Linked DNA regions of Callithrix jacchus. The protein of the gene in region 1 purifies or fractionates together with the protein of each later gene. This does not show direct contact. Links are inferred from orthologs where the notes say so. Each region holds a gene or a part of one and is shown in the gene's direction. Other genes may lie near its edges.

Region 1 (3,500 bases):
CTCCCAAAGTGCTGATATTACAGGGGTGAGCTACTGTGCCTAGCACTTATGAAGTATTGACCCTTAATCATTATGAAATGTTTCTCTTTATCCCTGGTAGTAGTCCTTCTTTGAATTCTACTTTGATAATAAAATTGCCACTTTAAGAAAACTTGAGGGCAAGGTGGCTCATGCCTGTAATTCTAGCACTTTGTGAAGCTGACGCAAGCAGATTGCTTGAGCCCAGGAGTTCAAGACCAATTTGGGCAATGTGGCAAAACCCTATCCCTACAAAAACTACAAAAATTAGTCAGGCATGGTGGTGGGCACCTGTAGTCCTACCTACTCAGAAGGCTGAGGTGGGAGGATCACCTGAGGCTGGAAGTCAAGGCTTCAGTGAGCCATGAGTATGCCATTGTATTCTAGCCTGGGTGACAGAGTCAAGACCCTGTATCAAAAAAAAGAAAAAACTTGGCCAAGTGTAGTGGATCAGGCCTGTAATCCCAGCACTTTGGGAGACCAGGGCAGGAAGATCACTGGAACCGGAAATTTGAGACCAGCCTGGGTAACATAGTGAGACCCCCATCTCTATTGAAAAAAAACAAAACAAAACTTTATCCGAGTATATTTTATATATCATAAAATTCAACTGTTTCAAGTATACCATTCAAAGATTTTTAGTAAGTCTCTGGCTGGGCTTGGTGGCTCATGCCTGTAATGCCAGCACTTTGGGAGGCTGAGGTGGGCGGATCACTTGAGGTCAGGAGTTCAAGACCAGCCTGGCCAACATGACAAAACCCTGTCTCTACTCAAAATACAAAAATTAGGCGAATGTGGTGGCGCATGCCTGTAGTCCCAGCAACTCTGGAAACTGAGGCAGAAGAATTGCTTGTGCCCAGAAGGCAGAGGTTGCAGTGAGCTGAGATGGCACCACTCCACACTCCAGCTTGGGTGACAGTGAGACCCTATCTCAAAAAAAAAAAAAGAAAGATTTTTAGTAACTTTCTTGAGGAGTACAATCATTACCATAAATCAGTTTTAGAATCTTTTTTATCCTACCGTAAGATCCCTCATGTTCATTTACAGTTAATCCCCATTACCTCCCAGCCCAGAGAACTACTAACTTACTTTCTGTCTCTATAAATTTGCCTTTTCTGGATATTGCATATAAATCATACAATATGTGATCTTTTATTCCTGGCTTCTTTCCTTAGTATAACATTTTTGAGGTTCATCCATTAAGTGTGTTGTTTTTTTTTTTTGAGATGGAGTCTCGCTCTGTCACCAGGCTGGAGTGCAGTGGCATGATCTTGGCTCACTGCAACCTCTGCCTCAGCCTCCTGAGTAGCTGGGATTACAGGTGTGTGCCACCACACCCAGCTAATTTTTGTATTTTTAGTAGAGATGGGGTTTCACCATGTTGGCCAGGATGGTCTCTATGTTTTGACATCATCTGCCTACCTTGGCCTCCCAAAATGCTGGGATTACAGGTGTGAGCCACCTTGCCCGGCCCCATGAAGTATTAATTGCATGTATCACTGGTTCATTGCTTTTTATTGCTGAATAGTATTGCACTGTATAGCTATATCACATTTTGCCTATCCATTCACCAGTTGGTGGACATTTCCAGTTTGGGACTGTGATGAATAATACTGCTGTGAACATTCTCCTACAAATCTTTGTGTGGATATTTATTTTCATTTTTCTTGGGTAAATACCCAGAAGTGGAATTGTGGTAGTTTTATGTTTAACATTTTGTATTTTTTTACACATGTATATCCAGTTTTCCCAGCACCGTTTGTTCAACAAACAGTTCTTTCCCTAAAGAATTGTTGTGGCAGTTTTTTCTTTTTTTTTTTTTTTGCTTGAGATTTGTTAAGCTTCACTCTACCTGTGTATGGCCTAGAAACTCTCTGGGCAGTGAGTTAGAGCACTCAGAGGATTCCCCTCATTTGTTTCCTTTCTCAAGGATCACTGTCCTGCACTGTCTTTTGACACTGCTCATTATCTGAAAACCACTATTTTATTATATGTTGCCTGGTTTCCCGGTTGATGAAGGCAGGAAAATAAATGTGTTCCCCATTATTTCATCATGTCCAGAAGCACAGTTGGTCTTGCTTACATTTCAGCTTTGAAAATTTACTTCTCTTTTTACTTGTTAACTTCTAAGTTTTCTAAAAACAAAAATCCTTCTTTTATAACTTGGAAAAATACAAATTTTTTTAAATTAAAAAGCAGAAGCAGCAGCATCCTGCACATAACCATGGGCAGCAGAGTATCATTGTTCTTAGAATTCATAAGCACGAAATTGTAGATGTGATTTAGGAAATATTATTTTATAAAATTACTGTAATTTTGAGGGTATTGATTCTATTTAATTATCTCTTTTAAAGAATGTTTGTAAAATATGTGGTTTTTGGATTACAGGCGATTGTGGAAAAATGTGACAGACTCTCTGAGGGAATCTGAAATTGATAAGGCCACAGAGCATAAGCGTACCCTGGAAGAACGTCAGAGAACTGAAGAAAGGCATCGTACTGAAACAGGCACACCTTGGAAAACCAAATATTTTATTAAAGAGGTATGCTGTACATGTGTTAAAGATAAAACGTATCTCCTTGGTGAGAACTTTGGCTTACTAGGCTTTGTTGAATTGCTACCACTTATACATCTTTATTTTTAAAAGTAGTACAACTATATATAAATACCAATTGTTTTTGAGACCAGCCTGGGTGATCTGTCCCAAAAAAAGAGCCGGGAGCGGTGGCTCACGCCTATAAGTTGGGTGGATCACTTGATCACTGGGTTTCACCATGTTGGCCAGGCTGGTCTCAAACTCCTGACCTCGGGTGATCCACGCACCTGGGCCTCCCAAAGTGCTAGGATTATAGGTGTGAGCCACTGCACCCGGCCAGCTTTCTACTTTTCATTTATTCCTTATGTGACAGACAGTAAGAACCTACCTCTTACTCTTTATTTCACACTTTGTGATGTTGGACAGATAGATGCAGAAAACTGTAGCAAGATAGGACTATTCCATTAAAATAGTGAATTTCTGGATGGTGTTGCGTAACTGCCTGCTGGAATAGTAGATTAGAGATGTAGACTCAGATTTGGGCTCATTTGGGCGGGGCATGGTGTCTTGGGCCTATAATCAATCCCAGCTACTCAGGAGGCTGAGGCAGGAGGATCACTTGAAGCCCAGAGCAGACTGGGCAACATAGCAAGAACTCATCTCTAAAAAAATAAATATAATAAAAGTATTTGGGTGATAAGATGTAAGCAGGGTTTTCTAAGTGGTATGCCAGGGCACAGTGGTGCAGCAGATGCTTTAGAGTGGTCGTGGTATTAGCACCTAATGGTTGCTATTGTGAGAGAGGAATTATTCTGCACAGAGTAACGTTGTTCAGTACTGTTGGAACAGGTGAGAGAGATCAAACTCAATTCTGCATATAGCAGTAACAAGTGGGGATTTATAGCCCACAGGCAGGGTGTGGGAGTAGGTGAAAAATTACTAAGAG
Region 2 (3,928 bases), on another chromosome or scaffold:
GAAATAACAAAATAAAATGGTAGAAATAATTCCAGATATGTTAGTAAATATAATAAATGTAAATGGACTAAATGCTCCAGGTAAAATACAAAGATTATTCTTTTAAGAAATCTTTTTGTCATGACACATTTCAAGTATACAGAAAAGTGGGAGGAACAGTACAAGAAAATTACATGCCTGTGACGTAGAGTCAGCCATTGTTAGCTATTTGCCATGTTTGTTTCACCTCTATAGGTATGTATAGGAGACTATTAAGAACACCTATTTTACTTCCACAGCATACATAATATAATGAAATACAATTTAAATGGTAATCCTGATGTAGAGCATCCACTTTTAGGTCAAGCAGATCTGGATTTCCCATCAATTTTTAATTATTTAACTTACTTGTGTGGTTACGTATTCAACAGATGTCTCTTCACTAGGCTATTGTAAGAGGGTTGGAATCAGGTTAGCTTTTCTGATCATTGAACAAATTTCTAAATATTTGTTGCATAAACAAATCTAATTAGTAAAGAATTCAGCACAGTGCCAGTTGCATAGTAAACATTTAATGTAGAGCAGCTTGTATTTATTGTAGTTGCTGTTGTTATTGAAAGCATTCAGCAGAGTAGCACAACATATAAAGGCAATAATTGGTAGTTTATTATATTTATAATTATTATTTACAAGATGTCACAGTGCCTAGCACATCACTCAGTCATAAACATCATGTTTATACTAAGTACTTTTACTATTATTCAAAGTTTCTAACAGTGCCTGGCACTACATAAGCAAGAGAAAAGTGGAAGTTTATTCTTACCAATTGCTACTATTGAATAAAGCACTTAAGACGAGGCTGGCCCCCATTGGTCCCTTAATAGTTTTCGCCATGGCTATCATAGTAGCTGGACTACAGACCCCGCCTCCTGAGCTGCGCGAGGCCCCGCCCCTTGCTGCTCCGCAGTCCCGCCCCTGTGGCTTCTGCCGCGCCTGCGCACTGTCCCGGGAGGGGCTCCACGCGCGCAGCTTTCGTCCCCGCCCCTGGAGCCGGCTGCGCAGGGCGCAGCTTCCCGCCGTCCGAGCGGGCTAGCCTGCTGCGTGCGTGCGTGCGTGTGTACGTCTCTGCGTGCGTGCGTGCGTGCGTCCGTGCGTGCCGTCAGCTCGCCGGGCACCGCGGCCTCGCCCTCGCCCTCCGCCCCTGCGCCTGCACCGCGTAGACTGACCCCCCCCCGCTCCGCGCGCTCACCCCGTCGACAACCCCTCCCGTGCCCCGACTGGCCTCCGCCTTTTTGTAAAACTAAAAGCGGGCGCAGCATTAACGCTTCCCGCCCCGGTGACCTCTCAGGGGTCTCCCCGCCAAAGGTGCTCCGCCGCTGAGGAACATGGCGAAGGTGGAGCAGGTCCTGAGCCTCGAGCCGCAGCACGAGCTCAAATTCCGAGGTAAGCCCCGGAGGCCGCCACCTTCTGGCCCGCGGCCCCCGCCCCAGTGCTGAAGGGACTGAGTCGGGCGCGGCGGGTGACGTCGGCCCTCGTCCCCACCCTGACGGCGCAGTCGCGGGGGGCGGCGGGGCCCGGTTGGGCCGTGGCGCTCGCGGCACGCCGCAGAACTGCCTGGAGCTGCCGCGACCCGAGACGGCCCGAGAGGTCTGGTGCCAGAGCCGGGGCTTGCGCCGCCTCCCCGACCCTCAGCCTCCCGGGACCTGCCTTCGAGGCACTTGTCACATTGCCTTGTAACTTACTGACGAGTTTGTGGTCTTCTGTAGTGTGAGCCTCCGCCGTTGCCTGGAAGGTTCTTCCCCTGCTCTGTGACAGTGTTGACCTCAAGGCTTAGCTGAGATGTCACCTGTTCAGAGAGGCCTGCTGTGACCAGCCAGTCCACCGTGCACACCTGCTGTCGTTCCCCATTCCGTCACCCAGTTTCGTGGTCAACGCGGCACTTTTCATGCCCAGAATCACTGTTTCAACACTAGAAAGGAAACTCCATGAGGACAGGCTCTTGTCAGTTCGCTACTGTATACCTAGCACACATTAGATGCCTAGTAAATACCTGTTGAGCCAACAAATGAACCTCCTAAGGACTTCCGATGGGATCGAACCCACTTTACTTTCGCTGCCTCCCTCATGCTGTCTCCTGGGTGCTGCTGAGGGAGGCTGCCAGGGTGCTGGGATCCTTTTTCTTGGCAGAGCCTGGAGCAACACCTGAGTTGGTGGGAAGCCATGACCGTGGTTTCTCCCAGATGCCGTTATCTTTGTCATTTGTGCCTTTATGTTTTCTATGTTGTTGTTTTTGTTTTTTTTCCTACCTTCACCAGGACCACGAGGCAAAATGTTCTTGTCTGACTTGCTCATTCCTTCTTTTTTATGTGCATCCAGTAATGTGGAAAGCACTGCGGAGGTAGATGATGGATGAACAAGACAGACAAGGCCTCTGCTCTAGTAGAACTTACCTTCCGACGAGGGCAGAAAAACCAGCACACAAGATCATTGCAGATAGTGCTAAGTGCTGTGTAGGAAATGGAACAGTCTGACTCCATGAAAGTGTATTTTAGATGGGAAGGCAAGGTTACCACTATATCGCTAGCACCAAGCTCACAGTAGATGCTCAGTTGGTAGGTATGAATGAATGAATGGCCAGAGACTCTCCAGTTTATGTGTCCTGGTGGGAAGTAGTGTAGGGTAACTTACCCAAAGTTACCCAGTTGGCAAATGGTACATTTGAACCCAGATGTCAGAGTTCACACTCATAACCATTATGCTATCTGATCTCTGGGAAATACTCCAGAACTGTGGCTGTCACTTTGCCTTCCATGTTAGCAATGTGAAATAACTGAATTTACAGAGAACCAAAGGTTTTCCAACTAAAATGAAGAAAACAAAAAACCCCACAAAAACCTGGATCCTAATTCCCGGATAGTACTTGAGCTTTCCTGATGTTCTCCTGGCTTTCTGCAGAAGCCAGACTGGACAGCGAGTCCAGGTAGCTAAAGTGAATGTGGTGAGCCATGGTTTCCACTTGAGTTGTCTGAAGTTCTGGCTTCTCCCGTGCATTGGCGTGTTCTTTCAGTTAGTCCAGAAACATTTAGTGAATACCTGATCTGTGTGTCAGATACCGGGAGAAGCCAAGTCATATCAGTTGTACTCTCCCATTTTCCCCTCAGCCTCCTCCCAGTAGTTTAGGGAATGGGGGCAGATGAGAATAACAACCAGGACAGGTCAGTGATGTAGGGTAATCCAGAGTGCTCTGGGAGCATTGAGAAGGTCAGCTTCTGAAAGAGGTGTCATTTGAGCTCAGTTAAAAAGTTGAAGTAGAAAAAGTTTCAAAGAAGGAAAGGCGGGGGGGCGGGGATGTTTCAGGCAGAGGAAATTGTATGCACTGAGGCACAAACACTTGACTGGCTCCTTTGGGATGACACTAGTAGGTTTTGTTTTGTTTTGTTTTGTTTTGTTTTGTTTTGAGATAGAGGTCTCGCTGTCACCCAAGCTGGAGTGCAGAGCACCATGTCCCTGCAACCTCTGCCTCCCAGGTTCAAGTGATTCTCCTGCCTCAGCCTCTTGAGTAACTGGGATTACATACAGGCCTGTGCCACCACCCCTGGCTAAATTTTGTATTTTTAGTAGAGATTGGGTTTCAACATGTTGGCCAGGCTGGTCTCAGACTCCGGACCTCAAGTGATCCGCCCTCCTTGGCCTCCCAAAGTGTTGGGATTACAGGTGTGAGCCATCGCGCCTGGCCACCACTAGTAGTTCTGAATGACAGCAACAAAGAACATTTTTTGTGGTTGCCTGGTAAGAAGGGAGACAAGGCTGGTAAGTAGACAAGAGTCAGATCTTCTCAGTCCCTTTATGCATAGATGCACCCAGTGTCCAAGTTACAATTATGTTGATTCTTCTTGAGCAGTTCTTTCTTGCATTAACTCCCTGAAACCCCAAATCCCAGTACAAACTC

What was found.
Region 2: the proteins of OSBPL11 (region 1) and VAPB purify together in Homo sapiens (affinity purification with mass spectrometry; 4 studies listed by BioGRID and IntAct, counting the BioPlex papers as one, with this or other methods). This does not show direct contact. The link is inferred for Callithrix jacchus from reciprocal best matches to the Homo sapiens genes OSBPL11 and VAPB.

What each region holds. Positions count from the first base shown.
Region 1 is NC_133516.1:77,480,427-77,483,926, forward strand, and holds part of OSBPL11 (oxysterol-binding protein-related protein 11), read left to right. Parts: intron 1-2,406; coding exon 2,407-2,560; intron 2,561-3,500. UniProt on the Homo sapiens protein: Plays a role in regulating ADIPOQ and FABP4 levels in differentiating adipocytes and is also involved in regulation of adipocyte triglyceride storage. Weakly binds 25-hydroxycholesterol. Interacts with OSBPL9 to function as lipid transfer proteins.
Region 2 is NC_133506.1:53,978,822-53,982,749, forward strand, and holds the start of VAPB (vesicle-associated membrane protein-associated protein B/C), read left to right. Parts: upstream 1-1,128; 5' UTR 1,129-1,364; coding exon 1,365-1,422; intron 1,423-3,928. UniProt on the Homo sapiens protein: Endoplasmic reticulum (ER)-anchored protein that mediates the formation of contact sites between the ER and endosomes via interaction with FFAT motif-containing proteins such as STARD3 or WDR44.